Nothobranchius furzeri: one gene and its partners. Each later gene encodes a partner of the first gene's protein in a complex. Links are inferred from orthologs where the notes say so. Each region holds a gene or a part of one and is shown in the gene's direction. Other genes may lie near its edges. The genes, in order: f2, f2r, fgg, serpine2, fga, serpind1 and proteinase-activated receptor 4.

The links.
Region 2: the proteins of f2 (region 1) and f2r are in contact, whole or in part, in a crystal structure (PDB 3LU9), measured with the Homo sapiens proteins. The link is inferred for Nothobranchius furzeri from reciprocal best matches to the Homo sapiens genes F2 and F2R. Residues at the interface, in NP_000497.1 of Homo sapiens: Phe382, Arg383, Pro386, Gln387, Glu388, Leu389, Leu390, Cys391, His406, Cys407, Tyr410, Trp413, Lys415, Leu423, Arg425, Arg431, Thr432, Arg433, Tyr434, Ile441, Met443, Glu457, Asn458, Leu459, Asn506, Thr510, Lys517, Gly518, Gln519, Arg541; in NP_001983.2 of Homo sapiens: Ala33, Thr34, Asn35, Thr37, Leu38, Asp39, Pro40, Arg41, Ser42, Phe43, Leu44, Leu45, Arg46, Asn47, Pro48, Asp50, Lys51, Tyr52, Glu53, Pro54, Phe55, Trp56.
Region 3: the proteins of f2 (region 1) and fgg are in contact, whole or in part, in a crystal structure (PDB 2HWL), measured with the Homo sapiens proteins. The link is inferred for Nothobranchius furzeri from reciprocal best matches to the Homo sapiens genes F2 and FGG. Residues at the interface, in NP_000497.1 of Homo sapiens: His450, Pro451, Arg452, Arg461, Arg486, Ala489, Ala490, Leu493, Ile530, Val531, Glu532, Arg533, Cys536, Asp546, Asn547, Met548, Phe549, Cys550, His605, Phe607, Arg608, Leu609, Lys610, Lys611, Trp612, Lys615; in NP_068656.2 of Homo sapiens: Pro439, Ala440, Glu441, Thr442, Glu443, Tyr444, Asp445, Ser446, Leu447, Tyr448.
Region 4: the proteins of f2 (region 1) and serpine2 are in contact, whole or in part, in a crystal structure (PDB 4DY7), measured with the Homo sapiens proteins. The link is inferred for Nothobranchius furzeri from reciprocal best matches to the Homo sapiens genes F2 and SERPINE2. Residues at the interface, in NP_000497.1 of Homo sapiens: His406, Tyr410, Pro412, Trp413, Trp455, Arg456, Glu457, Asn458, Leu459, Glu509, Thr510, Ile542, Asp562, Ala563, Cys564, Glu565, Trp590, Gly591, Glu592, Gly593, Cys594; in NP_006207.1 of Homo sapiens: Val225, Arg288, Ser355, Ala356, Thr358, Thr359, Ala360, Leu362, Ile363, Ala364, Arg365, Ser366, Ser367.
Region 5: the proteins of f2 (region 1) and fga are in contact, whole or in part, in a crystal structure (PDB 2A45), measured with the Homo sapiens proteins. The link is inferred for Nothobranchius furzeri from reciprocal best matches to the Homo sapiens genes F2 and FGA. Residues at the interface, in NP_000497.1 of Homo sapiens: Phe382, Lys384, Ser385, Gln387, Leu423, Arg425, Tyr434, Glu439, Lys440, Ile441, Ser442, Met443, Lys470; in NP_000499.1 of Homo sapiens: Trp52, Pro53, Phe54, Cys55, Ser56, Asp57, Glu58.
Region 6: the proteins of f2 (region 1) and serpind1 are in contact, whole or in part, in a crystal structure (PDB 1JMO), measured with the Homo sapiens proteins. The link is inferred for Nothobranchius furzeri from reciprocal best matches to the Homo sapiens genes F2 and SERPIND1. Residues at the interface, in NP_000497.1 of Homo sapiens: Lys384, Ser385, Pro386, Gln387, Leu389, Leu390, Cys391, His406, Cys407, Tyr410, Pro412, Trp413, Asp414, Lys415, Leu423, Arg425, Ser430, Thr432, Arg433, Tyr434, Lys440, Ile441, Ser442, Met443, Asn458, Leu459, Lys470, Trp511, Ala513, Asn514; in NP_000176.2 of Homo sapiens: Glu75, Asp76, Asp77, Asp78, Tyr79, Leu80, Leu82, Ile85, Phe86, Asp89, Asp91, Val305, Glu306, Met307, Thr308, His309, Gln327, Asp343, His361, Lys362, Arg388, Thr457, Val458, Gly459, Phe460, Met461, Pro462, Leu463, Ser464, Thr465.
Region 7: the proteins of f2 (region 1) and proteinase-activated receptor 4 are in contact, whole or in part, in a crystal structure (PDB 2PV9), measured with the Mus musculus proteins. The link is inferred for Nothobranchius furzeri from reciprocal best matches to the Homo sapiens genes F2 and F2RL3. Residues at the interface, in NP_034298.1 of Mus musculus: Glu385, Leu386, Leu387, Cys388, His403, Tyr407, Trp410, Asp411, Arg428, Arg453, Glu454, Asn455, Leu456, Trp501, Gly502, Asn503, Trp508, Thr510, Gln516, Arg538, Ile539, Asp559, Ala560, Cys561, Glu562, Gly563, Asp564, Val585, Ser586, Trp587; in NP_032001.2 of Mus musculus: Asp54, Lys55, Pro56, Asn57, Pro58, Arg59, Gly60, Tyr61, Pro62, Gly63, Lys64, Cys66, Asn68, Asp69, Ser70.

Annotation. Positions count from the first base shown.
Region 1 is NC_091743.1:82,272,541-82,276,040, reverse strand, and holds part of f2 (prothrombin), read left to right. Parts: intron 1-1,828; coding exon 1,829-1,955; intron 1,956-2,313; coding exon 2,314-2,481; intron 2,482-2,564; coding exon 2,565-2,738; intron 2,739-3,138; coding exon 3,139-3,317; intron 3,318-3,500. UniProt on the Homo sapiens protein: Thrombin, which cleaves bonds after Arg and Lys, converts fibrinogen to fibrin and activates factors V, VII, VIII, XIII, and, in complex with thrombomodulin, protein C. Functions in blood homeostasis, inflammation and wound healing.
Region 2 is NC_091757.1:44,245,667-44,249,645, reverse strand, and holds the start of f2r (proteinase-activated receptor 1), read left to right. Parts: upstream 1-1,179; 5' UTR 1,180-1,369; coding exon 1,370-1,448; intron 1,449-2,704; coding exon 2,705-3,924; 3' UTR 3,925-3,979. Other genes in the region: ras GTPase-activating-like protein IQGAP2, read left to right, coding at 5-113, 667-780. UniProt on the Homo sapiens protein: High affinity receptor that binds the activated thrombin, leading to calcium release from intracellular stores.
Region 3 is NC_091744.1:17,238,710-17,242,838, reverse strand, and holds the start of fgg (fibrinogen gamma chain), read left to right. Parts: upstream 1-1,329; 5' UTR 1,330-1,423; coding exon 1,424-1,486; intron 1,487-1,562; coding exon 1,563-1,610; intron 1,611-1,690; coding exon 1,691-1,877; intron 1,878-2,009; coding exon 2,010-2,094; intron 2,095-3,763; coding exon 3,764-3,894; intron 3,895-4,129. UniProt on the Homo sapiens protein: Together with fibrinogen alpha (FGA) and fibrinogen beta (FGB), polymerizes to form an insoluble fibrin matrix. Has a major function in hemostasis as one of the primary components of blood clots.
Region 4 is NC_091753.1:19,313,805-19,317,962, reverse strand, and holds the start of serpine2 (glia-derived nexin), read left to right. Parts: upstream 1-1,358; 5' UTR 1,359-1,587; intron 1,588-2,377; 5' UTR 2,378-2,388; coding exon 2,389-2,656; intron 2,657-2,766; coding exon 2,767-2,994; intron 2,995-3,352; coding exon 3,353-3,550; intron 3,551-4,158. UniProt on the Homo sapiens protein: Serine protease inhibitor with activity toward thrombin, trypsin, and urokinase. Promotes neurite extension by inhibiting thrombin. Binds heparin.
Region 5 is NC_091742.1:90,961,135-90,965,207, reverse strand, and holds the start of fga (fibrinogen alpha chain), read left to right. Parts: upstream 1-1,273; 5' UTR 1,274-1,379; coding exon 1,380-1,430; intron 1,431-2,587; coding exon 2,588-2,695; intron 2,696-2,901; coding exon 2,902-3,085; intron 3,086-3,207; coding exon 3,208-3,353; intron 3,354-3,765; coding exon 3,766-3,864; intron 3,865-3,935; coding exon 3,936-4,073. UniProt on the Homo sapiens protein: Cleaved by the protease thrombin to yield monomers which, together with fibrinogen beta (FGB) and fibrinogen gamma (FGG), polymerize to form an insoluble fibrin matrix. Fibrin has a major function in hemostasis as one of the primary components of blood clots.
Region 6 is NC_091757.1:55,843,805-55,847,908, reverse strand, and holds the start of serpind1 (heparin cofactor 2), read left to right. Parts: upstream 1-1,304; 5' UTR 1,305-1,401; intron 1,402-1,492; exon of another isoform or gene 1,493-1,541; 5' UTR 1,542-1,542; coding exon 1,543-1,805; intron 1,806-1,984; coding exon 1,985-2,628; intron 2,629-2,706; coding exon 2,707-2,855; intron 2,856-2,942; coding exon 2,943-3,067; intron 3,068-4,104. Other genes in the region: pi4kab (phosphatidylinositol 4-kinase, catalytic, alpha b), read right to left, coding at 995-1,103. UniProt on the Homo sapiens protein: Thrombin inhibitor activated by the glycosaminoglycans, heparin or dermatan sulfate. In the presence of the latter, HC-II becomes the predominant thrombin inhibitor in place of antithrombin III (AT-III).
Region 7 is NC_091741.1:64,408,393-64,412,421, forward strand, and holds the start of proteinase-activated receptor 4, read left to right. Parts: upstream 1-1,229; 5' UTR 1,230-1,380; coding exon 1,381-1,486; intron 1,487-4,029. UniProt on the Homo sapiens protein: Receptor for activated thrombin or trypsin coupled to G proteins that stimulate phosphoinositide hydrolysis. May play a role in platelets activation.

The DNA of each region.
Region 1 (3,500 bases):
AATGTCTGTTTTTTCTTTCTAAAATCAATAACTAGCACTTGTGTTTTGCCAACATTGGGTTGTAGAAAATTTGCATCACACCGTCTAACAAAGGAGTTAACTTCCTCCCTGTAAGCCAGGTCGTCTCCCCGGGAGATCAGGCCCAGCAGGGCAGTATCATCAGAGAAATTCTGTAAGTGACAAGACGGTAAACTGTGCCTATAGACAGCTGTATACAGTGTAAATAAAAAAGGAGATAAAACTGTCCCCTGTGGTGCACCAGAGTTCGTAAAAATCAAGTCCGAGCACTTACCCCCAAACCTCACAAACTGAGGCCTGTTTAAGAGATAGTCTAAAATCCAGGCAGTGGTGGAATTGTGCAGCTTAAAATCCAATAACTTCTTTCCTAAAATATGGGGCTGAATGGTATTAAAAGCACCGGAAAAATCAAAGAACATAAGTCGCACTGAACTGCTGGCTTTTTCAAGGTGTTTATAAATAATGTCCAGCAGATACAGAAGGGCATCATCCACACTCACACCCTTCCTATATGCAAATTGCAAGGGGTCTTGGAAGGAAACAGCTTGTTCTCTTAGGCATTTAAGGACAACTCTATCAAAACATTTCATTAGGTGTGATGTCAGCGCAATAGGCCTAAGATTGGACAACGTAAATGGCCTGTATTTGATATAGCGCCTTCTAGAGTCCTGGAACCCCCCAAGGCGCTTTACAACACAATCAGTCATTCACCCATTCACACACACATTCACACACTGGTGGGGATGAGCTACAATGTAGCCACAGCTGCCCTGGGGCGCACTGACAGAGGCGAGGCTGCCGAGCACTGGCGCCACCGGTCCCTCCGACCACCACCAGCAAGCAATGTGGGTTAAGTGTCTTGCCCAAGGACACAACGACAGCGACAGACTGAGCGGGTCTCGAACCTGCGACCTTCCGGTTGCGAGGCGAGCACTTAACTCCTGTGCCACTGACGCCTGTTTTCTTAGGGATCGACACAAGACAAGAAGTTTTCCACATTAAAGGTATTTTAGCAGCAGACAAGGACAACATGAAAATGTAGTGAAAGTCCGCTGCAAGCTGCTCTGCACAAACTTTAAGGGTGCGTGGATGGACACCATCAGGGCCTGCTGCCTTGTTAGGCTTTAGCTGACTAAACTGCTGCTGGACATCTTCAACACTAAAGCTAATCTCTGAGCATGCCTTCTCAACCTGATCCGTGGCAAGTGCCGATTTAAGTTTGTTGTGTAAAATGTGTAAAATCACGATCATCAAATCTGGCAAAAAACTGGTTCACCTCATCCACATCCATCCCGGTGCTGTGTAAACCTGTCTTACCCCCACAGCCAGTCATGGTTTTCATCCTGTCCCAAAGACACTTAGAATCAGAACCATCAATAGAGGTTTCCATCTTACCTTCATATTGCTGCTTACTCCGTCGGATCGGTGTCTTAAGCTCCTTTTGTGCCACCTTAATTTGCGAGCATGGTTTAGCTGTGGATAATCTGGTACAATAATTCTTTGTAACCTTGGCTGTCAAATAAAGAGCTAGGTTGGTTAACTGGTCATCAGATGGTTTACTGATGTGTCAGCTGTAGGTTTAATGACCGTTTACTGAGGAAAGTGTCTATTAGTTTAATAAGTAGTTAAGAGATGGACGCATCGGCTGTTGACCAGCTGATTACTAAACAGTGAGCTGGTTATTAGTTTAAAAGCTGTTTGTCAAAAATAACTAAATTATTTAATATTTTTCTCACTAATAGAAGTACAACAATCTGACCTTTGAACTAACTTGACAACTACTAACCAGAACCTGCTGGTTGTGTTGTAGTGTGTGGGGTGCGCCCCCTTTTTGAACAGGTAAGCAGAGTGGATAACGGAGAGAAGGAGATGCTGGAGTCCTACAGAGAACAGCGGATCGTTGGGGGGGACAGTGCCGAGGTGGCCTCAGCACCATGGTAACCACATTTATTACCTCCTGTTACAATAGTAACCACATGTATCACCATCTGTCACCATGGTAACCTCTTTTTATTAGCTGTTTCTATGGTAACTACACTTATTACCAGCTGTTGCTATGGTAACTATATTTTCACCAGCTGTTACCATAGTTACCACATGTATCACCATCCGTTACCATGGAAACTAAATTTTTTACCAGCCATTACCATAGTAATCACTTTTATTATCAGCTGGGAGAATGGTGACCGCATTTACAAGTCATTACTGTGGTGACCTTGTCTTAACCAGCTGTTACCATGGCAACATTTATAGTCAGCTGTTGTTGGTCCCTGATGGGTTTGTGGTGGTTTACAGGCAGGTGATGCTGTATAAACGAAGCCCCCAGGAGCTTCTGTGTGGGGCGAGTCTGCTCAGTGATCAGTGGATCCTGACTGCCGCTCACTGCATCCTTTACCCCCCCTGGAACAAGAACTTCACCATAAATGACATTCTGGTCCGTTTGGGGAAACATAACCGAGCCAAGTGAGATGTTCTGCTGGGATAAATTCTGGTCCAGTCGCACATGGAACTCTTTCAGACATGAAAATGTTCTCCTGCTTTTGCAGGTTTGAGCGTGGGATCGAGAAGATTGTTGCCATCGACGAAATTATCATTCATCCTAAATACAACTGGAAGGAGAACCTGAACCGGGATGTGGCGCTGCTGCACATGAAGCGACCCGTCACCTTCTCAAACGAGATCCACCCCGTCTGCCTGCCCAGCAAGCAGGTGGCCCGGACGTAAGGCCAGCCGTTCTGTCTTCTCAGTGCTGAGACAGGGTTTTAGGTCTGATCTGGTCCATGTGAAGGACCAGATCAGCTTATGGGACAACCAGGTTGGGTTCTACTAGTGAAGTCTAGCTGTCCTCCTGACCAGAGTCCAGAGACAACAGTTAAATCCATTATTGTGTTCGTGCTCCTTGTTTTAGCTTTAGGTCAGAGGTGGGTCCAGCTGGGTGGTGGTCTCCTCCCCTTTGGGGGTTTAGTTTAATAACTCAGGTAAAAACAGACTATCCTCTAACCAGTGCCTGGTCTGGTCCAACCCTTCACACTGGGTGGATTTTTTTGACTCCAGCCGAGGGATTGCTTCTGGTTCTGTCTACGGTTTGGTGAGTCCTCTCTCTGGTTCTCTTCCCAACAGCCTGATGACAAATGGCTTTAAGGGTCGAGTGACGGGCTGGGGGAACCTGCAGGAGACCTGGAACCCTGCAGCCAGGAACCTACCCACAGTCCTCCAACAAATCCACCTTCCAATCGTGGACCAGGAAATCTGCCGGCAGTCCACGTCGGTCAGGATCACAGACAACATGTTTTGTGCAGGTAATGACCAGTTCTGGGTTGGTTTAGAACTTACAGGCAGACCAGCGGTTCTGGTTCTTCTGGAGGGTTTTAGGATCAGTAACAAAACTAGGCCCCAAACCATCATCCCTCCACCGCCGTGCCAACAGCTGGGATCAGTTTTCTTCATGGTGTTTATAATTGGAAAACATTTATGATGATCTG
Region 2 (3,979 bases), on another chromosome or scaffold:
TCAGGTTTAAAAATGTTATGTTTGACATTTCGCCCACTGAGGAAGTTGGAGATTTTGAGGTGAAGGCCAAGTTTATGGGGGTTGAGATGGAAAAAGTCCAGCTTCATTTCCAGGTAAACATTTCCCAAGTGCATAGGGATTTAATTGAAACTGTTAAGGCTCTGTGACCGATTGTTCCATTTCCTGTTGACGGGAAGTATGAGAATGTGGGCATGGTTTTACCAAATGCTTCTCTATAACGATAAGAACTCATGCACTAGTTAAATGGTAAATGGCCTGTTTTTGATATTGATATAGCGCCTCCTAGAGTCATGGAACCCCCCAAGGTGCTTTACAACCCAATCAGTCATTCACACATTCACACACTGGTGGGGATGAGCTACAATGTAGCCACAGCTGCCCTGGGGCGCACTGACAGAGGCGAGGCTGCCGAGCACTGGCGCCACCGGTCCCTCCGACCACCACCAGCAGGCAACATGGGTTAAGTGTCTTGCCCAAGGACACAACGACAGCGACAGACTGAGCGTGGCTCGAACCTGCAACCTTCCAATTACAGGGCGAGCGCTTAACTTCCTGTGCCACCGTTGCCCCAAATACGTCATGGAAACCAAGAATTTGTGTTTATTAGGGCGAATGATTCCTAATCATTTTGTGTTTTGTGTCCAGGACCTCCTACAGCTGCAGTACGAAGGCGTGGCCGTCATGAAGATGTTCGACAAAGCCAAAGTTAACGTTAATCTACTCATCTTCCTTCTGAACAAGAAGTTTTATGGGAAATAAACGAAGAAGAGAAAGCAGGAATTCCTCCTTATGATGGGAACAAATTATTTAGAATTGTCTTATTTCATCAGATTTAATTTAATGGATCACACCTGAATAAAACGTTCTGATTTTCTATGTGCTGATTGTAAATGAAATTTACTTTTACAAATAAAATTGTTACAATATTTATGTTTTGTATGCAAAACTTATGAGGAAACAGCAGCGCGGAGCTGGAAAACGGCGTTCCATCTGACATGCGCATACAGGATTACTACAGTCTACCGGTGCCTTTTAAACATTTAAATGTTTTAATTCAATGTCAAAACTACTCTATGAATTTTTAATACGTGGCTATTAATAATTGTGTCCTAATGCAGGTAAATGATGTGCCGAATAAAGTTACTCCTGTCCAGAATGTTTTTCTTTCTACTTTATTTTCCTCTTGGCAAATTTTGCTGGTTGGTTTAAATTCGGGAGTAAATATTTTGACCTGACGAGTGAAGCTGAAGGGGAGGAGATCTGCAGACCGGAGGAGGAGAGGTTCCCTCCTAGACTCTAGAGAAAGAAACATTCTTCTCTCTGCAAACCCGTCTAACAAAAGGATAAGATGTGCACTGGCGCAATGCTTTTATTAATAAGTGTGTTTCTGTTTTATCACACAACTCCAGCTCTTCCCTCTCACAATGGTAAGTACTCGTTTTATAGTGTTTATGTCACCACTGAGTCGACTGAAAGTTTCATGACCAAAAAAAAAAAAAAGATTTGAATGTTTTTACCATTTAGGTGAAGTTTGTGTTTTTGTTGCTTGGAGAAAAATGCATCGGGTGTTGGAAATTATCGTGGTAATGAAATATACTTGGATGTATTAATGTTCATTCAAAAGATAAATGATACATAATTTTCAAATTAGAAGATTTTGATATTAAAGCACATTTATTTTCAGATATTCAATTATTTCACTCTCTGCTGCAATAAGTGATGTCTTTAGTACAGAATGTCTCATTGGTTAAAGAAAGAGCTTTAAACTGAATTTATGAATATTTTAAAATGTGTCTAGAATTTTATTTGTACACAAATTAGCAACCAAATAAATAGATAAGTGTAGATTTGTGCAAAATATTTCACCTCGATGGGTCAGAAACATTAAAAAGTGTTTGAATACATGTTAAACTAAACTTTAATACTAATATTTTAAACATTGTTGGCATGCTTTTATATCACACGTAATGTAAACCACCTTAAAACAGTTTTATAAATCTTCATGATTTCTCTACTTTGATTTGCTCACATCCTTTGCAAATTTCCAGTATTTACCCTTTCTCCTGTGAAAAGTGTTTATTCAGATGGTTTCAGAATGAGCAAATCCTGAAATGTACCAAAATGAGTAAAACTTGTTTTTTTTTTTACAGTTTGAACCAAACAATGCTAAACTTTTCATTAAAACACTTCAAGTTGTTCACAGAAGTGGCTGCTGCCTGCTTAGAACTGGTACTTATCAGTTACCACAGAAGAAGAGAACTTTGTATAAATCATAATGATAAATTATGTCTTGATGCATTTCTTGCAACATAACGTTTGCAGAAAATTGTGAGAGAAAACAAACATTGGATTCTTTCGTTGTTGGTAAGTTTTGTTCCTTTTCAACGATTAACTGTAGCATCAAACACATTTTTACGTTTTATTGATGCTTTTATAGAAAATAATTTTATAAATTATACTACCTTACTCTGGCTGGTAGTAGCTTAATCCTGAACAAAATCATCTCTTCAATTGAAAGCTGAAGCAAACCAGAGAGAACAGGGAAGAGGCCTTTAGTAAAAATATAATTATTAAAAAAACAAATAGCAGCAGATTTCTGAAGGTGTTATGAACCAAAGAGCGGAATACTGAGCAGTAAAACAAACACTAAAACCCTTCTGTCTTCGTTCTTTTCTGTCTGAAGGCTCGGTGCTCATTCCTCGGACGTTCTCGGGTCACTTCATCATGGTGACTGATGAACCTGTGGACTACGTTGACCTGTCTGCTGTTGATGATGTCAGCGGTGATGGGGATTCGGGCTCAGAACTGAAACCACAGTCCGTAAAAAGACACCACCATCACCCCTCAAAACTCTATTTTGTCTCAGAGGAAACCAAAGAGTTCCTCCAGGGTCACCTAGCAACAGCCCTCATCCCAACCATTTACACCCTGGTCTTCATCATCAGTGTGCCTCTCAACCTCGTTGCCGCAGTGATGTTTGTTCATCGGATACGTCCCAGGAAGCCGGCTGTGATCTACATGCTGAACCTGGCCTGTTCTGACCTTCTATTTGGTCTGCTCCTTCCCTTTAAAATCACCTACCATTACCACGGCAACAACTGGATCTATGGCTCCTTCCTGTGCCGTGCTGTCACAGCAGCATTCCACTGCAACATGTACTGCTCCGTGCTGCTCATGACGTGCATCGGTGCGGACCGCTTCCTGGCTGTGGTTTACCCCATGAAGTCCCTGACGTGGCGCAGCCCCCAGACGGCTGCAGCTGTCTGTGCTGCCATGTGGCTCGTGTCTCTGGGAGGAATCTTCCCCCTTCTGATCTCAGATCAGACCATCTACCTGTCAGACCTGGGAATCACCACCTGCCACGACGTGCAGGATGTGGAGAAGCTCCAGGCTTTCTATCTCTACTTCTTTCCTATCTACTCCTCTGTCTTTTTCTTCATCCCTCTCATCATCACTGCTATTTGTTACATACGGGTCATCCAGGCTCTGGCTGCGGCCAACGTGGACAACCGCTCCAAGAAGACCCGTGCTATAGTGATGACTGTGGTAGTGTTGCTTGTGTTTGTGGTCTGCTTCACTCCTACAAACGTCATCCTGATGGCTCACTACGTTCAGATGTCCCACTCCTCCAACGATTGCTCCTACAAGGCCTACCTGCTCTCCTTGTGTGTTAGCAGCATCAGCTGCTGCCTGGATCCGGTCCTGTACTACTACGGCTCTTCCCAGTGCCAGAAGCAGGTTACGGCTATGCTCAGGTGTCGGAGGTTGACACGAGCAGACAGCAGCTCAGAAACACGCAGCTCAAGAACCAGTGGGTCCACCATCAGCAGCCGGTCCAGCAAGATGGAGAACATTCATGCCGGCCTGGGGAGCCAGTATAACAGACTCAATCTAAAGCACTGAGACACCTTTCAAACCAGAGTAGAAACCCCCGGCGTCCGTCCGTCCATCCATCCAT
Region 3 (4,129 bases), on another chromosome or scaffold:
CTAATCTGTGTTGGCTTAAGTAGGCTGGTGCTTCCACAATCAATTGACCAATCAAATGAGGCCAAGCCTCCTCTCAGGTATGCAGAAAGAAAATGAAAACACATATGGCTCCTACAGATAATGTTGCATAATACCTTACCCAAGGGGAGCATGTCGAGATTGAAGAGCAGTGGTCCAAGAATTGAGCCTTGGGGGACCCCACGTGTCATGGTGATCTGCTTTGCTTTGTGATCACCTATAGAAACAACATAACCCCTGTCTGTGAGATATGAACCAACTATGGACTGTGTCATATAGTCCCACCAAGTTCATGAGCCTTTCAAGAAGATGTTGGGGTTCACAGTATAAACAATCACATATTTTAACTTGTAGCAAAGTAGAAAACTGTTTAAAATACATGAAATTTCTCCTTTCTTGTTACGTACAGTCCCACATTTTACTAAAATGAAAATCAGATTGGAAAAGATCCTATTTAGTGAAGAACACAAAAGCAGACACACTGAAAGAACAGCAAGCCCCGTTGATAGCTCAGGTTTATTTAATACATATTATTACTGAGGGATACTTTGGGGGTAAATGATACATGACCCGCACCTGTATAGCGCCTCTCAGAGTAAGGACTCCAAAGCGCTTTACACTACAGTGTATCATTCATCCATTCACACACACATTCACACACTGATGGTAATGAGCCCTGATGTAGCCACAGCTGCCCTGGGACGCACTGACAGAGGCGAGGCTGCCGAGCACAGGCGCCACCGGTCCCTTCGACCACCACCAGCAGGCAAGGTGGGTAAAGTGTCTTGCCCAAGGACACAACAGCAGAATTCTCTGTCCGGAGCCGGGATCAAACCTGCAACCTTCCGATAACTGGACAACCCGCTCAACCTGTTAAGCTGCTGCTGCCCTAATGGGTAATGTTTATCCTGAAGCTGCAGCTGATATGAGAAAAGTCAAGCTTGCACCAGTGGAGTTATTCAAGAACTAGTGTGCTCACAAATGCCACCAGCTGCAAATGAAGGCCAAAACGTAGCATATACTTCACCAGCAGCCCTTCATTAAATCAATTTTAAATCAATGAAGTAAAGATTTTACTAATGTACCAAATAAATTACTATCTTGACGGGAAAATATGAGCAAAAAGAACAAAACACACCTGTGTCATCATTCACACAGGACCTCTAACCAACACACACTCACGCAGATGTTCTAAACCCAACTGTCCATTCGAAAGCGTCACATCTGGGAATCAGCTGCGGTCGGACGTTTGACTCACAGGTCTGGAACAACAAAGTGAGTGGGATGTTTGCATGTGGACACTCTTATCAAAGGTTGATCGGGGGACCTTGTTCAGATAAATAACCCTCGGAGTCCAGCAGCTCTTCACTCTCCCAAAAAACCACAAACTGGTGGCTGAATCAGCATGGCATCATCACTAGAAGCAACAACAGGAGTTCTTCTCCTACTTTTCTCACTCTCTTCAGCTGTAAGTGGCTTTAATTTTATGTAAAATGTTTATTCGTGAAGAAAAATTATACTGACGTTTGTTTTTATGTGTGCAGCAAGTCAGAGGAGACAATAGTGCATCATGCAACATGAATGATGGCTTTGTAAGTGTCTAACTTCATCACAAACTCATACTTAGTGATTTTTTTTTGCAGTCTAACTTTTTGTTTCTGTATTTATTCAGGGGAAGTATTGCCCCACCACGTGTGGCGTTGCTGATTACTTTCTGAGGTATTTTCCTGGAGTCAACGAGGACCTGAAGACGATGCAAGCAGAACTGGAGACCATCACAAATTTGACTCAAGGAGCCGATGAAACCATTGTGTACATGCGAGACTCGGCCACTTCAGCTCAGAAATCTTCACTGACAGGTGACATCATCATCTGGTTCAGACTCCAGTTTAGATTTTATCCTTAGTGTTTTATATGTTCAGTAAAACACAGATGAGATTTTACACGAGAGGATTGTTTGTGTCACTAATCTGGTTTGTTGGGATTTTCAGATCCGTACTTTAAGAGGTCCTCCAGCATGCTGGATGATGTCCTTCGGTTTGAAAAGACTATTATTGCACAAGAACAGCAAATTCTGTGAGTTACGGTCAGCATTTAGACGTTATGTTTCTAGTGTGTGAGGACATGATGTCAGCTAAATGTTATTTTACAGTTTTTAGTTCAATATTTCACATCTTTTCATTAGTTTATTTGTAGAAAGTAAACTAATGCGTGCGTCTTTCTTTTAAAACACTCATGTAGTGTCCTGTTGCAGTGTAGCAACTCTGAGTAAACACCAAGCTAAACCTTTGTCAAATAGTAAAGGAGTCAGAGTAGAGTTGACCTTTTACTCTTAGAGCCTTCATTTGACAAGCGGTGAAAACTGTAATTGAAAACAAATACAGAACAGAATAAATTATCATGTTTACATAAATATTGCCTCACAAACTAGCTCAAAATAAGACTTGACGTAATTGTATTAGCCTGAGGAAAGAAAATGACCATCAAACAAATTCCTCTTTTAACATGTACAAATCAATCATTGTGGAACACAAATAAAATAGTTTTGTTTTTGTATTTTTTAACAACATTCCCAAGTGGTTGGCTGTGGATAAGCCTCAGAGCATGACCGCATGCCACTCTCACTCTCAGAGCAGCCAGTAAGAGGAGGTAAACAGGAAATTAACCAATACAGGTAACCCAGCAGGAAGTGAGATTATTAGTAAGTTCACCTTCAAAATAAAATCTTCCCATTTAACATTTTAACCTATTCACTGTTCTTTATAACTTAAAAACATACAAATGAATAACTTTAAATGAAACATAAAATATAAATGACATAAATGCCTTTTGAGGCGTCACAACTCATATCCTCCAGCTTCATGTATTAGTGAGTTGTTATATTCTTTTACTTTTTTGTCTTGTATTTTATCCAAAAAGAACACTCTCAAAAACTGTGACACCTTTTAGAACATTGTAGTCATCATTCATAATAGAAAAGTAATTTCAGTCATCTGGAAGAAGTAAAAACTTTTTGAAAATCTATTTCAAAACAAATTATACAGATACAATATATAATTATTTTTCTTAAGTTACATATTCGATACAAGACGTGTTTTTAAAGTTGTTTGCACTGAAATCTTCTCACATGAAGCCTTCTCAGAGATTTTTATATTTGTCAGATCCAGAACTTCCATAATGAGCCGTTTCAAGGTCTCTATCACAAACTGGAGCTGGCCATGCCCACCCAACCTTGCTCAGGCTCCTATAGGCTGAGAAGCTCTGATGTCTGGGAGGGGCTTGGAGTAGAACTGCTGCTCCTCCAGCAGCAGCCCTCTCTTACATGTGAGAAGTGGTTCTATTCTAATTTCCCAGTTTGTGACCTTACAAACGAGGGCCTTTTGAAACGGATTGTTTTAGGCACATCATTCTCAAAACCAAACCCTGACAAAAAAAAACGCATCAATGCATTTTTGCTACATGTGGAGTTTTTATAGAGGCAGTAGAGATCTGCCTGCTAACACTAAAGGATGCAAAAGGTGGTTTTGTATATCATGTCCCCTTTAAATCAAGCCATTGAGAAATTTCCCAGCCCATTTTTTTCTCAGTTTCATTCTTAGTTTATTCTTCTTCATTTTTTTTTCTCCATTTGTCTCCACTGTCAATAATAAACATGACAATCCTTACTGGCATATTTCCAAAGTTGTGGTTACAAAGCAATAAAGTGACTTTTAGACACAACCCATGTTTGTGACGCTGTTTCCAGGGAGCTTAACGATTTAATCTCCTCTAATGAGAGGACAATGGGGGATCTGAAGACGCTTGCAATGCAGCTGCAGCAAAAATGCAGTGAACCCTGCAGAGACACAGTTGAGATCCAAACTACCACAGGAACAGGTAAAAAAAAAAAAAAGACACATTGACACACTCTGACCTTCAGGCCATTCCTGTTTCACAATAAGTTTCTCAATCTGCCCTCAACTGAACAACATTTGTCCCAGTTCAGTGTTTATTCAAAGGCTGAAATCAATATGCATCATCCAAGCAGAGGACACGTGCTCATTTTAGCCCTAATCGTTTAGCCTTAACCTTTCATTTATGAGTCTCATCAAATTAAGTAAAGGAACTTCGT
Region 4 (4,158 bases), on another chromosome or scaffold:
AAAACCTTTGTTTTGTTTGATGATGAAAGTTGGTTTCTAAATGGTTTCTTGGATCCTCCTCATTATTATTCTATTCAGGCCAAGAGGTTCTGAAAAATCATGGTTGGATGCTGGCCCGTGCCATTTTCCTCTGTTCTCTCAGAGATTAAAAAGCACAGTTTGAAACTGGAATGACATTGAGAATAATTGTACTGCACAGCTTGCCATTTGTGCACTCTGACTACCTCCTAAAAACTTATTTGTTTTATTTTGTTTTTAATGCAAATTCCATTTTTGCATCCAAGCTGAACATATCAGTCCCTCAAAGACAGAATTAGACCCGTGAAATCAGAGTCATTCACTCAGTGAAGCTAAACTACAAAATGAGTTTATGATAATGGAATATCAGAATCTTTGTTATCAGAAACATTTATGCAGCCTGTGTGTGTAATCATCCATCTCCTGAAACCTCAGAGACCAACCCGTGATCATTTTTGGTGCAGGATGTAGCAAACTTTGTATTGCTTCTCAGCCTTTTTCTTAATCTAGCCTATCAATTAAAACATTTTAAACCTAGAAACTGTTCTGAAGAAGTCCCCTGCTGCCCCGTATTCCTCAACACAAAATCTCTCTGAGTGCCAAAAACAGTCCATAGGCTGCACTGAATAAACAAATTCAAAACTTATAGATGAAGTTGTTTTTTATGTAATGTGCAATTATGATCCAAACCGAATTTTAGACCAAAAAATTCTCCTGAGGGATAAACATTGTTAAGATTTCTAACACTTTTATGCATGAATTAGGATAACTCCAGTCAGGATTTATTTTTCTTAAATACTTTTCTCTTTTATACCAATCTTTTGACAGGAAATTTGAAACATTTGAGTCAATTTTGAGTCTTTACAAAAATGTCTATCAATTGTTGCACAGCATGCATTTTTATATATTCTTTTTATTTTAACAAACTATATATTTTTATGTTATTAAGCACTTTTTGTGCAAAGATTTGCCGGTTGGGCACACGCTCGGGACTTTTATTGTGAAGAGGTCAGAAGCAGGAATGTGTGTGTGTGTGTGTGTGTGTGTGTGTGTGTGTGTGTTAAGCTCAACTCGCTTAAATAATCACTGTTTGTCATCAACATCAAAACAAAATTCAGTTTTAGATATTGAAAAAACTTATTAAACAAAATAAATCAACACCAAATCAAATTATCTATCTATCTTTCTCTAAAATGTTTTTTTACTGATAGATGGAACATTTCAAGAAGGTTGTGTTTTGTTTCGTGGGGCGATAATGTGAGCTTTACTTTGAAAGTCAGGCGGATGTACACGCTGTCCGGGTCTTATAGTTGTCGTTACAGAGACGCGAACTGCGTGCTCGGTTGTTAGTTGGAAGGCGGAGTTCAGTCTAATAAATTCCTCTGAGAAGCAACGGCGGAGTTGGTAGCAGCGCTCCGGTTTGTGGGATAAAAAGCTAATTTTCTCCTTCATTAACGACACGGACCAACTTCCGCTTCACGCTTGGACGTTTACTTACAACGGACTGATAAAGGCTCCCAGTTTCACCTGCAACAACAAGTCCACTAAAATAGCGTCACCTCCTTATAGGTAAGAACCACCGTCTGTCCGGTTATTTTCCTCTGACGAGGCGTAATTAGCTTGTTAAACAAGCCCAATGTAGTTATTCGCTTTTTTAAAAGCTGCTTTTATTTAGATGAACGTCTCCTAATGTGGAACAAACGCTTCTAGTTGGTTTTAGCGCACATGTTGAGTCCGCTAGATTAAGCTATTTGAGCTAAACTGCCTAAAACCCCATTTTCTGGTTGAAATTTAACTAGTTAACGTCTCAGTAGACTAGTCGTAAGGGAAAGTCAGCTCCTGAGTGGCTCCCTGCTGTTCCCATGCGTAGGAACGAGGAGGGATGCAAAATAGTTTAGTTTAACTAGACTTTAGTCATAACAAACCTTTCTTTGTGTTTGTCACCCACTTCTATCAAATAAGATGAATTTCCCTCAAGATGAAAAATAAATTAAAAACCCAACAGCTTGCAGCAGGGAGAGCAGGGACGCCCCATCTGTCCTGAGGACTCTCCGTAAGTGGAGAGGCTCACAGGGTTTGCTAATGGGCCAGAAGATTTAATTTAGTTTCATCAAACAGAAGCAGAGAGCAGATCCTCCCCTCCCCTTTTCAACACTGATAACATGTGGTCTTTAGACAGCGAAGGCTGATTGGTCAACGCAGAAATAAAAATATTTTAGGACAATAAAGGTGGCCATGGGGAATTAAACATTAACACTTGAGTAAATAAAAATGAGGTAACTTAAAGGATTGCCTGCTGATGTGTTTCCTCAGGATAAAGCAGAGAAGGCGTCTTTTTGTGTTCCTTTTATTGTTCCAGGTGCTGAAGATATGAAAATGAGGAGTGCCTCCTTGTGTTGCCTGCTTGCACTGGTGATGCAGCTTGGCCTTGAGGGTGTGCTGTCTGCAGCTCCATCGTACGGTGAGCGCGGCTCAGACCTCGGCATACAAGTGTTTCAGCAGGTGGCCCGCTCAAAACCTGTGGAAAATGTGGTTCTTTCACCCCACGGAGTGGCCTCCATCCTCGGGATGCTGCTTCCCGGAGCCCACGGGCAAACTAGGAAGCAGATCATCAGTGCTCTGCATTACAAGAAAAAAGGTAAACAGGATGTGCATAGAATGACCCCCTGACCTGAAATCCCAGCCACATGGGGTGGAATCTTAGTTATTACTTTTAGGTGTAAAAGAAGACAAACTTGTTGTGCACAGGACCTTATAAGATGCTGAGAAAGCTGCACAAGACCTTGACATCCAAGTCGAACCAGGACATTGTGCTGCTTGCCAACGCCATATTCAGCCAGAAGGATTTCCCTATTGAGGAGACATTTGTGGCCACAAACAAAGCCAACTTCCAGTGTGAGAGCAGGGCCCTGGACTTCAGCGACCCCAGTGTAGCGGCCAACCAGATCAACGATTGGGTCAACAGTAAGACCAAAGGTACAGATCATTGCTTGGTGCAACTTTAAACCCTGTTTTCAAACCATCACCCTAAAAGTTGCATGTGTAGGTGTGCCTCTGTAAGGGTTGTGTTTAGGTAGTAAAGTATTAGTGTCAGGTTTTGACTTGTTCTTCCTGAATTACCTGGAATGGAGGTAGGTGTTTGCAAAGGCTGGTTTATGTCAATACAACCTAGAGAATCTCATCACACACACCTGGGGTCTATTTCACTACCATTGTTTCTACAATTTTTCTTGCTGTTGGTCAGCAGGTTGTTGCTTCCTCTTTTTTGGTGAATCTAAATTGTGTTGTGATTTTGTTGAGCCTTTTTAATTTCTGGTTGTCATTTTTCCTCCAGGTCACATCCCCAGCCTGATCAAAGAAGACATGCTGGATCCGGCTCTGACCCGTCTGGTCGCTATTAACTCGATCTACTTCAAAGGCTTGTGGAAGTCGTGCTTCCAGCCCAATAACACCAAGATGAGGCCCTTCAACGGGGGGGATGGAAATGTTTATAAGGTTCCAATGATGTCGCAGCTATCAATCTTTAACATAGGTAAGTGAGATGGCTCTGAAATGGTTTGATCTGGTCTGGAAAAGATGACGCGTTCACACAGTGGTTATAAATAAATGTAACTTCTGCAGTGGACCCCCTCTGCTCTGGTATAATCAGTCAATCAATCAATCAATCAAGCAAGCTTTATACACTCACCTAAAGGATTATTATGAACGCCTGTTCAACGTCTCCTTAATGCAGTTATCTAATCAACCGGTCACATGGCAGTTGCTTCAATGCATTTAGGGGTGTGGTCCTGGTCAAGACAATCTCCTGAACTCCAAACTTAATGTCAGAATAGGAAAGAAAGGTGATTTAAGCTAGTTTGAGCATGGCATGGTTGTTGGTGCCAGATGGGCCGGTCTGAGTATTTCACAATCTACTCAGTTACTGGGATTTTCACCCACAACCATTTCTAGGGTTTACAAAGAATGGTGTGAAAAGGGAAAAACATCCAGTATGCAACAGTCCTGTGGGTGGGGTTTCTTGGCACACTTTAGGTCCCTTAGTGCCAATTGGGCATGGTTTAAATGCCACGGGCTACCCGAGTATTGTTTCTGACCATGTCCATCCCTTCATGACCACCATGTACCCAGAGGCGGAGCTGG
Region 5 (4,073 bases), on another chromosome or scaffold:
TAAGACGTGTGTTGAACGTGCCCAAGTCCATACTTATGAGAGCACCATGTGAGCACCTGTGTGCGTACACGCGTTTGTATATGTAAGGTTTTTCTATAGGAGCGTCCAATAGAGAGTATGAGGGGCCACAGATCTTCCCCCCAAAGATACGTAGGAGATGGAGGGAGCTCCAAGTCCCAGAGATCCGGGAGCTGCCCCAGAGCACAGGAACCCCAAGGAGACCGCAACAAGAAAAGCCCCTGCCCCCCTCGAGAGGCGCAGAGGAAAGCCTCGGGTGGCCACAACCAGCAGCCGGTGGAGTTCTGGAAGATATCGGCGGCAAGCCCACAGGCCCGCCCGCAGCCTCCCACCCCGCAACCGGCCAAGCCCGGGGCCCAGGGGCGACCACCCTCACCGGGGACCCAGCAGAGCCCAGGGACCCAGACCCCACCAGGCAGCCACCGGGATTGATCAGGCAAACGCCAAAAATCTTAAACCCCCTGACCTGGGAGCCACGAACACTCAGGCAGACCAAGGCACCACACCCCACACCAGGTGTGGCAGGCAGAGGGGAGGCGAAGATCTATATCATCAAAAGAAGTCCCAGGAGAGGGGAGGAGTCAAAGGCGCCACCTGACATATGCAGTCATACACAAACACAGTCACACACTCCCTCCCTTATGCTCACACATGCACATACAACCAAAGACTTACAAAAATGCACGCCGGACACCCACTCATGCTCCCCATACACACCCTATTCACTCTGGTCCCGGTACTGCTGCACATGGGGTACAACCATTACCGGTTCCCAGAGTTTGACCCTTTCTGCTGGGGTGCTGATGAGCAGGTTCCCCCGCCCAACGCTGAGCACAGCAACCCACCACCCCAGACCCCAACCAGACGGCCAGATCTCCCTCCTCCAGCCCCAGGAAGCCAAGCTGGTTCTGGTTTCTGTGTTAAACTGTTCTAATTTCATCATAGTCCCAGAAAACACACACACGCACACACACACACACACACACACACACACACACACACACACACACACACACACACACACACACACACACACACACACACACACACACACACACACACACACACACACACATTTATAAAAGAGATCTGATCCCTGATGGGTCAGCAGGTCAGATGTTCCTGCAGCTTTACTCACCTGTGTGGGAACAGCTGACTCAGCGGTGTGTTTTGGGTTGTTTTTGTGTATTTTGTGTGTTAGTTTTGTGAGTTCAGACACACTAAGTACAACAAACAGACGGTCGGTGTGAGCAGGAGGTCGTTGCTCAACTCTGACCGGACCTGACGGAGGTTCTGAGGTCGGACGCTTGATAAGACCCGGCAGCGGGGCAGCAGGAACATTCAGAGGAAGAACCAGAGAGATGAAGATGATGAGGTTACTGGTCTGTCTGGTGTGTGTTGCTGTGACTCAGGTGAGCTCCACTTTATCCTCTAGAAAATTCATGAAATGATCTCACCTGTAAGTTTGACTGGTTTAACTGGTCAAATTCATCCTGTTTGACCAAATCTAGAACCAGATACTCTTAATGTTTATTTGTCTGTACGAGTTATTGAATGAAAATGCAGCTTTTATAAAAATAATAATAATAATAACAATAACAATAATAATAATAATAATAATAATAAATAATTAATAATAATAAAGGCTGGGCAGAAACTGGAGGATGCCATTAGTGTGAATGTAGAATAAAAGGAAATTACATTTTTCCTGATAATTTCGTAAAAAATGTTAAAATCTTTCATTTAAAGGCAGAAATTACAAGAATATAATTATATTTTTCTGGCTGACTTTAAAATTGATAGAAAAAAACGGAATTATTTACTTGAATCTGAAGGAAAAAAATGACTGAGCTGAGTAAATAAATAAGACATATGTTCTGGTTTTATTGAGAAGAAATTACAGGAAAATTTCAAAAATTCCCAAACGTTCTTCCTCTGACAACAGAACCAAATGTATTCTGAGAAGGTCGTCTTTTACTTCCCAAATATCTGGGACATTTCAGAACATTATAATGAATACATTAAAATAGTTGCTGGTGAATATTAAGTGAAGATCTGAGAGGTTTTCCTCGTTATCTCATAATATTTATCAGGTTTTGTGTTTAAACGTTTGTTTTATACTGAGAAAGTTAGAATTTAAGATGAACCAGTAGAAACCCACAAAGCCACCTGGACCTACCCAGACCGCTGGAAGAACATCGGTTTAGAGCTGCAGCTGATGCAGGAGCGTTTAAAATCATTTATATTTGCCGAGAAACGTAAAACAAGGCCTCAGACTTCTGAGATTAGAGTTAGGATTGTGACTGTTTCTCTGAATCTTCTCTAAATATCAGTTATAAGAGAGAACCATGATGTCGTCTTTGGACACAAAAACCGAAAAGCTGCATTTTTTTTATTTTATCTACATTTAAAGTAACCAGGAGCCGTGGTGGAAGGCCCACCGAGCTACTAGTAGCTCCAGAGCCGCAGATTTCAGACCCCTGAACGAGACGTGGTTCATCGGGTGAACAGGTGCGTGCTAGGGTCTTCCACTCTGGTGCTACATTAGTGTCCATTTCATCTACTACAGGTTGCGTCTCAGGTTGACCCGAGAGGAGCCCGTCCTGTGGAGCCTGCTACCCGATCAGACAAATGTTCCACCCAGAAGGAGTGGCCCTTCTGCACCGATGATGACTGGGTAATTCTGCTCTTCATCACCTCATAATCCACCCGTCAGAGCTGCTGATGCTCAGGAGAGCAGGAAGGATCACTCCAACGTTGAAACTCTTAATTCCAACTTCTCACATGACAGATTAAATGTCTTTAGTGGCACGAAGAGCCTTCCACAGATTTTAATCCCTCCTTGGTGTCTGACGCTCAAACTGTTGCTTTGTGCTCCACCAGCTCTCCAAATGCCCGTCAGGCTGCAGGATTCAGGGCTTGATGGATAAAGCGGACCATGAGCTGCTGAAGAAGATCGAGAAGATCCGCAGCCTCCTGAACCAGAACAAGGCCAAGCATCGCTCCACCGACCAGGTGTCCAAACAGACCTACGACTACCTACGGGACAGACTCACCACCGATTCTGGTCCGTTTGAGGAGAAACCTTTCATATCTGACACACTTTAAGAAGGAAAGCGAGGAGAAACAGACTCGGAGAAGGTAGGAGGGTGTTTGGTTGGAGCTGATCATGAACATGTTTGACTACAGGAAACAACAACAACTACTACGACCTGGCCCAAAGCCTCCGACAGAGGATCACCGACATGAAGATCAGGATCGACAATCAGATGAACACTCTGGCTGCCCTGAAGAATCGGGTCAAAAACCAGGTCACCGAGATGCAGAGGCTGGAGGTACGGAGAGTCTGCAGGGACAAAAACAAAGTCTTAGTCCTGAAAACGACACGAATCAGCTGTTTTTATCTGAACATAGAAAATATAAAGATTAACAAACAGAACATCAAACTATTAGCTAAATTAGGTAATTTCCTGTTACTAAAACAACAAAAACACCTATTAGACCCAAAAGATCCTCCTGCTGTTTAGAAGCAAACATCAGAGGAGTCTAACCGGAGTTTAAATTCATTCTGTAACAAATAACGTCCAATTTTCCATGAAGTTCCCACAAAGCTTTAAATGTTGTTCTGCTGCCACCAAAAACTCTAGTCTAGTTATAGATAGATTAACATCAGAGCTACCTGACTGGTGCAGGGTTATCTGAGTATTTGCTGCCCAGATTCATCTCTCCAACCTTGTCTTCTGTCAGGTTGACATCGACATTAAGCTCCGTTCCTGCAAAGGTTCCTGTGGTGGGTACAGCGAGTACCAGGTGGACAAGGAGAGCTACGTCAACCTGGATAAACAGGTAAATCAGGATAAATCGGACCTTTGTGAGGAGGAATTTCAGCCGGACTCATTCTTGGCACCCTCCCTCAGATGAGGCAGCTGGAGGCCCAGTCGGCCCAGAGCGTCGAGTCGGTCGGGACGCTGTATGTGATGAAGACCAGCTCTCTGCAGACTGCAGCTGCAGAAACCAGATTCAAATCCAAGGATGTAGGAGGTCAGAAGAAAGAC
Region 6 (4,104 bases), on another chromosome or scaffold:
GCACCGAACCACCTCGTTTAACCGCATCTAAACCTTAACGTTTCACTATTATAACCTTCACCTCTCCCTCATCCTAACCTTAACCCTCTTGCCACCTAAAACGTTACTCTCACTGCGATCAAGCGTTTGTTTCCCCTGCATTCTGACTCGGACAGTCAGAGTCTGACTGTGAATTTTCGTATTTGCCGCCCAAGGAGAACGTTAGAACATACCATCTGGTGAGGGGGAGGTTACACATACCCTCTACTTTTAACCTCCACCGTGGTAGTTGAAACCTCCCCCTCGCGTTGGCTCGGTCCAAACCTGACCAATGATGAGGCGGCTCCATCCGTTCACTTCACAGAGCCGGCTTTTAGAGCGATCGACACATCACTAACGTGTTCGCTGGCAAGATGGTTAAGGTTAGGATAGGGGTGAGGGGAAGGTTAAATAAGAGGATAAGGTTAAGGTGAGGTACAATGAGCTTGTTTGGTGCCCTGGCTGCGGACATTCCATCGCATCAGTTTTACGCTGCATTGGGATCTGCAGTCAAATAAGGGAAAAACCCCTTTTCGCACATAAGTAACGAAAAAGGGCACTTTTGGCGTCAGGGGTCTGACGTGGAGGGTGGCTGACCAAGCGTTTGTTTTTGACGCGCTGGGAGTGAGAACGTGTTGCCTGCCGGCAGGAGGCCCCCGGGTCGACCCAGGACACGTTGGAGAGGTTACATCTCCAATCTGGTCCGGGAACGCCTTGGGGTCCTGCCGGAGGAGCTGGTGGAGGTGGCCGGGGAGAGGACGGTCTGGAGCTCCCTAGTTGGGATGCTGCCCCCGCGACCCGGACCCGGATAAGCGGAGGAAGACGACGACAACGACCATCAGAACAGGATGTCCCAATCATGCGTCTACCACTTCCTGCTTCCTGTGGTTTAGGAGTCAAAAGGCCTCAAAGTGTTTGAGTCCATCTGCCTCCCATGAGATGCAAAGATCATCAGTACCGAAATGAGTAGACTCACCGGACCCTTCCACAGCAAAACCCATGACCACAGAGTACAACCAGAAGTCCCTGAACAGCTTCTGGAGACGAGGCTTGGCCTCTTTGATCGGTGGAAGCCGCCTGGTCAACTGTTTCAAAAACAGACGAGAAAAGTGAAAAATGTAGAGTAACTGCATATGGTTACATCAGATATGGAAACACCACACACCAGAACAAATAAAGACACGGAAACTCTGATTAGTAATTGATCAATTAGACAGATGAGCTGAACAGTGAAGAGTTAAGGGTTTTAGCCATCCAGCTGACTTTTTGGACTGTTGTTTGATCTGGTCTATTTGTTCAACAGAAGCACACATCAAAGTTCAGTTCTGTATTCTTAGTCCTAAAAAACAAGCAACACAGCACTTCCCAGCAGCCAAAGCGAAGGTAAGACATGTAACACCCTGAAACGTTTTATATTTTACCTACAGAAAAGATCGTTGCATCTTCGTTTAAAAAATGCTTTCATCACGCCTAGAAATCACTGATGAGCTCAGCCTGAGTAGTGCTAATTTCTCCGTCTTCAGCATGTGGGTCATCACCGTCGTTTCAGTGGTCTGTCTGCTGGCCGGTCCGTCCCAGGCTGGCGTCAAAGACCTCAGCACTCACTTCGACGACCCCGAACCAAACCTCAGAGGCTTAGAACCAGGAGGCGCAGCAGACGTGGAGGCCATCCCATTGGAGTTCCACAAAGAAAACACGGTCACCAACGACCTGGTCTTTGATGGCTTCGAAGATGAAGATTATATTGATTTTGATAAGATCCTGGCTGCAGGCAGCGACGATTACAAGTAAGTTTTGGTGGTTTTGAGTTGAGAAAATAAAAGTTTTCATTCACAGTTTTTAATATTTGAATGAAGATGTTTGGAAATGTTCTTAAAAATGTTTAAATGCTCATTAGGAAATACCACTTTACAACCAAAGAACTGATTAATTCACCGTTAACGATAAGATGATGAATCCTTTCCAGTCAGGGGGATGAGATCGACGAGATAGCCACACCAGCGCCGGACATTGACATCTTTGCTGAACCCTCCGACCCAAAGATCCGCCGGGGCAGACTCTTGCGGCTGTTCCACGGTCGATCCCGCCTTCAGCGACTCAACATCGTGAACGCTCGATTTGGCTTCAACCTTTATCGCAGTCTTCGGAACAACGTCAACCAAACCGACAACATCCTGCTTGCACCTGCTGGAATCTCCATCGCCATGGGGATGATGTCTTTAGGGGCGGGTCCCAAAACTCACGATCAGATCTACGAAGTTTTAGGATTTGCTGACTTTGTTAATGCTAGCCATCACTATGACAACGCAACAGTGCACAAGCTCTTCAGGAAGCTGACGCACAGGCTTTTCAGGAGGAACTTTGGTTACACGCTCCGCTCCGTAAACGACGTCTACGTAAAGAAGAACGTATCCATGAAAGACACCTTCTGCGCAGAAACAAAAGATTATTACTTTGCTGAGCCACAGTCGGTAAACTTCAGAGAGCCGACGTTCCTAACCAAGGCCAACCGTCGCATAGAAACACTCACCAAAGGCCTGATCAGAGAGCCACTAAAGAGCGTGGATCCAAATATGGCACTGATGCTTCTAAACTACCTGTACTTCAAAGGTGAGTGGAAAATAAAAACAAGTGCTCAATTCTTTATAGATCTACAAGTGTGTTGGTGTGCTGTGATTGTGTAAACAGGGACATGGGAACAGAAGTTCCCAAAGGAAACAACCTACTACAGAAACTTCAGAGTTAACGAAAAGACAAGCGTACGCGTACCGATGATGCTGAACAAGGGGAACTACCTGGCTGCGGCCGACCACGAACTGGAGTGTGATGTTCTCCAGGTAACTTTAGAGCAGACAACTTTGACAAGCGTGCTGGACAGTAACCCATAAACCAGTCCACAGCGTAATAGCCTTCCTTATCTCCAGCTCCCATACACAGGAAGCCTCAGTATGCTCATTGCCTTGCCAAGGAAGATCACCGGCATGAGAACCTTGGAGCAGGAGATATCTTCAACTGTTGTTAACAAATGGCTCGTAAACATGACTAACAGGTCAGCAAAAGTTCACAAGTAAACACAGTTACAAGAAGTGGTTCAGAATGCTTAACAATTCTTGTGCTGACGTTTTTTTTTTAAATGTACTTCACCACAAAAAACTGAGCAACAAACTCTGCCTGTGGATTCACTTTATGGCCATCAAAAATGACTAGAGATCCCTTTTTCATCAGCACCGACCGATATTCCTTCTTGGTAAAGCCGATTGAAAGACAGGAACATTCCTGGGCAGCCCAGTGCTGCAGCAGACTTTACGTTCTTAAAGGGGCATTATGGAAGTTTGACAGCCAAAACATGTACAGAAATAATAAATGTCTTCTTCATACATTCTCCTGCAATGCCCTGGTCCTGTAGAATGAGCCCTGGCATTTTTACTGTGATTGCCTGTTTTTCTGTAAAATCACAGAAAAAGAGAGATGCTCGGGTCGAGCAGGCTGCTTCATGCGCGTTCACGCTCAGGCATCGCCCGTAGCGTTTGCTATCCGTAGCTTTAGCAGCAGAGAGAGAGGCAGTGCCACTTTGTCGCTGTTCCTAACGCCTAGTGACAAAGCTAGCTACATTTCTGAGGACCCTTAGCTACTTTCTGTACAACTTTCTTCTAGATATTTCCTGCAAATTAGCAACAAAATAGCCATTTTCACTCCGAACCGTTCTTTGGTTTGACGTTGTTTCATCTGTCATCAAGGATATAAACGTTACAGATACTGAGGACGTCACTGGTGCTTTAGCTCACCTAGTAAGACGTCGGACTCTCGTGCAGAAGACCTGGGTTTGATTCTGGATGTGAACATAGTTTATTTAGAGTTTCTTTTTTACATTAATGGTGTATTTTTTTTACAGTAAGATGCCCAAATTTTTATTTGAGACTCGCCGAACGGCATTGAATTCACAGATAAAAAAGATGTGGGTTCAACTTTCATTTTGGAACAATTTTTCAAGCAAGGGAAGGGAATGATCTGAGCATGCAGGAGGACTGACCCATCATAAACCTTTGTCGGCTGTGCTGAAGAGAAAGCTACAGAACCACATTATTT
Region 7 (4,029 bases), on another chromosome or scaffold:
GTTTTATTCTTAGGTCATGTTAGTTTCCTCCCTGATTAGTAATTGAGTTCACCTGGTCTCTCTCTCCCCACACACCTGCAGTTCATCTCCCTCTCATCCTCCCCAGTGTATAAAACCCTGTCTGTGTTACAGTGTTTTGTCAGTCCATTGTTTGGTTTCAGCGTTGTTTTGTGCCTCGTCAATAGGTATCTAGGTTTTTGAGCTCTTTAAATGAGCTTTTTGTCTCCAGGGTTTCAGGACATTGGTTTTTGGCTTCCTGCCCTTCTGGAACATTTTTGTTCTCCTTCCTGATAAAGGAATGTTTTCATTTACATCCACTCCTGCCTCATGTCGTTCTGGGTGTCTGCATATTGGGTCCAAACCTCCTCCAGGCTCACAATGTGACAAATGTAGTTTTGTTATTCTAACGGTGGCACCAGCGTAGCATCCACATCTGTCAGAATGGGTGTTCTTCACCGGGTTGGAAACTTTGGTCCGCCTTTATGTGGTAGCTACTGCAGGACTGAGCGCTGGAGATGTAACCGGGGGGGGGGGGGATTTACAGTAAGTATGCAATAAATATGTATTAAAAATACAGCCTAGAGGTTCTTTTATGCAATGTCAGGAATGCATGAATGCATGCAGGGATAACATGCTAGCAAGTATCAGCAGAGCCAATAGATGAGCTTATGGACATTCTAATGGGAAACAGGCTTCAATACAAGCGGTTGTCTTCCGCTTGGTCATAGTCCTCAACCAGTGTCTATTTAACATAGTGTAGTATAGGTTTTGGATGGTAATAAGTGCAGGAGACAAAAATCGACTTTGGAAAAAGTAGGGGGACATGCTGCGCTGACTTTGGAACACTGTGGCTCAGGGGCTAGGTTAGAGCAGGCCACTCCTGTTAAATGAAGGAACAGGAATGCACATCAACTCCGTTTCCCCTGAGTCATGTATTATGTGCTGCCACAGCCCTGAGTTCTAGAAGAGCAGCAGCCCTGAGTAGATCCAGTCTGACCCTAGCTATGATCGGAGTTCATACCAGAAAGTGAAGAGCAGAATGTACACAGAGAGAAGCTGAAACTTGAGAAAGTCCTCAGAGACATGTTTAAAACACAGACAAACACATCTGGATAACATAAGCTGAGTGGGCGAGGCCAGCAGAGGGTGGATCAGACGGATATCCTCAGACCCTCACAAAGCTGATGCAAGTCCTGCTATTGCTGATCCACTGTGGACACACTGATATTGCTTCTGAACAAGTCTAGGTTCTACTGAGAGCTTTTGGACCATTCCTGGACTGGTACCGCTGTGACTGAAACTCGAGGAAACCAGAAGCAGCTATTTGTGGTCTAAACTGTCTGAAAAGTGAGTACAGCAGAGAAAAACCACAGAAGAGGAATGAAGCTGACTGTTGGGACTCCCCTCTTTGTGTTCATTCTGTCATCCATCTGCAGTGTCTCTCCATCTTCTCATCCTGGAGATGTATGTTCGGTCACGCCTGTCCGTAAGTCTCCTTCCTCGTGGTGCACACAGCTGGACTGGCTGTGTTCTTTCTCTCATCTCTTTAGTCAGGTTTCTTTTGGAGGATCAGAGATGAATCAAGATCTCTGGAATATGTTTTCTCTTTTGCTAAAATGTTTGTTGAAGTTAAAACTAAAGTCGAAGCGGATGTGAAGAGAAGTCTGAGCTTCCTTTTAGAAACCAACTTATCTCACTTCATCTCTTTGGTCTAGACCAAAACACGTCATGCAGACAAGTACTTAACAAAGTTTGCACCAACAGATGAAGGTAATGTTTTAAAGACTCAAGAATAAATGTAGAATCCACATTACAAGCATTTCTGATACAAATATATTCTCTGATGCGCTTTCTTGAGTCCATGGGCTTCAAAAGTCAGCATTTCAACAAGGTCAGTTCCCAGATATTTGTAAGACAGGCAGGAAATCAATGTTGAAAGAGCAAGCCACTCCAAATCAACATTTTCTTGCTGATAAACTATATAAATGAGTGTCTGATCGTGCTGTAGACCCGTGTAGTCAATAATTCGGCACTTTAGTGCATCTTAGTTAAAATTAAAATATTCTGCCTAAAACTGTCAGCGATGCACCGTCATCAGGCAAAAACTCTGCACTGCATTCGAATTTAAATCTGCCATCGCTATTGGCTAAGAGGTACACTATGATGTTAGATGGTACATTATGATGTCACAATGTTGTGAGTGTGTATATTTGTTAGCGGCTCCGCCCTCTTGGTCTGCTAGGGAACAGCATTTGTTGCATTTTTCAAACAGGAAGTGGGAGTTGAGTAAGAATCTGGTAGGGGGTGACTTGCTCTTTAAGAAGAAACTAAAATGTAAGCATAGAAAAGATCAAAGAAAACACCTAAAAGAAAACACTGGAATCAAAAATCCTCAGATATCTACAAGTCATTGTAACAGTCCCTAACAGGCTTCAAAGACGAGTTCTTGATTCAGTTAAAATAAATTCAATTAAATTTCATTTCATTCATTTTTAATTCCATCAATCCATCCTTTTTTATCCCCGTATCCAGAATTGGGTCGCGGGGGTCAGCGGCCTAAGCTTAGAGGCCCAGACTTCTCTCTCCCCAGCCACTTGGGCCAGCTCCTCTGGGGAAATAAGATGCTCCCTGGCCAGCCGAGAAACAATTGTCCCTCCAACATGTCTTGGGTTCAGTTGGACATGCCTGGAAACCCTCACCAGGCAGGGAGGCGTCCAGGAGGCATCCTAACCTGAGCCACCTCAACTGGCTCCTCCCGATATGGAGGAGCAGCGGGTCTACTCCAAGCCCCTCCCAGGTTACCGAGCTTCTCACCCTATCTCTAAGGGAGAGCTCAGCTACCCTGTGGAGAAAACTAATTTTGGCCGCTTGCATCTGTGATCTCATTATTTTGGTCACTACCCAAAGCTTGTGACCACAGTTGAGGGTAAGAACGTAGATCAACCGGTAAATCGAGAGCTGTGCCTTCCAACTCAGCTCTCTCTTCACCACGACAGACCGATAAAACACCCACATCACTGCAGATGCAGCACCAATCTGCCGATGAATTCAATTTATTTTTATTGTGAAGACTGCCATATGTACAAGACTTGCACTGAATTTAAATGACATTTACTGATAACTCATGGTGCAAAAATCAAAATAGTAAAAAACTGAAATATTTAAGATAAAAATTTACTGTGTAAAAAAAGACAAAACACCCAGTGGTGTTATGCAATCAGCAATATAGAGAAACAAAGTGTGTTGATTATATTTATATGATTGAGTTAACTGATTTATTTAATTGCACTTTTGGTGTTAATTGGATGTATTTACAATATATTATTGATTCAATTGGTCAACAAGATTGATGAGAATAATTGAAATTTTGTTTTTATTGACTAATTAGATTTGTTTGACTGGATTTATTATTTAGAGTTTTATATATTCGATAAGATTTGTTAACTTGATCGATTTGATGTTTCAAACGTGTTTTTGCCAGACTTAAAGTCCATTTAAAAAGAAATAACACACAGATAAAATAATCAATTAAAATAAAGCACAAGACATGAAACCTTTAATACCAATGAAATTCTATATAAAATCGCAGGATGTAGCTACAGCGGAAGTAAGGGACGACGCAACTAACTGAGTCATATCTACCTAAACATTTTAGCCAGTGCCTTCTCCGCTTAGACAAATAACGAGAGCAACTCACAGTGGGATTCGAGAGTGCAACTATATTACTATTAGAAGATTCTTCCAGCCATGTCATAAACGTAAACATTAAATTTCTCAGAAGTGCCTTAAATGTGCACACCCTCACAGAAACAAGCATTTTACTAGCACTTCCTCCCCTGGGAATTTTGAGGAGGATTCTCATTGCATAATTGTAAGCCACTTGTAACCTGTGCAATTTGGAGTTTTTTTATAATATGACCACAGATGTGCAGTGTGCAGAGGTGTGCAGTATGCTTTAAATAATGACACTTTAACAGGTGTAGAACAACAGTTACATTTCCGTGCAATGGTGTTTGCTTGCACATATAA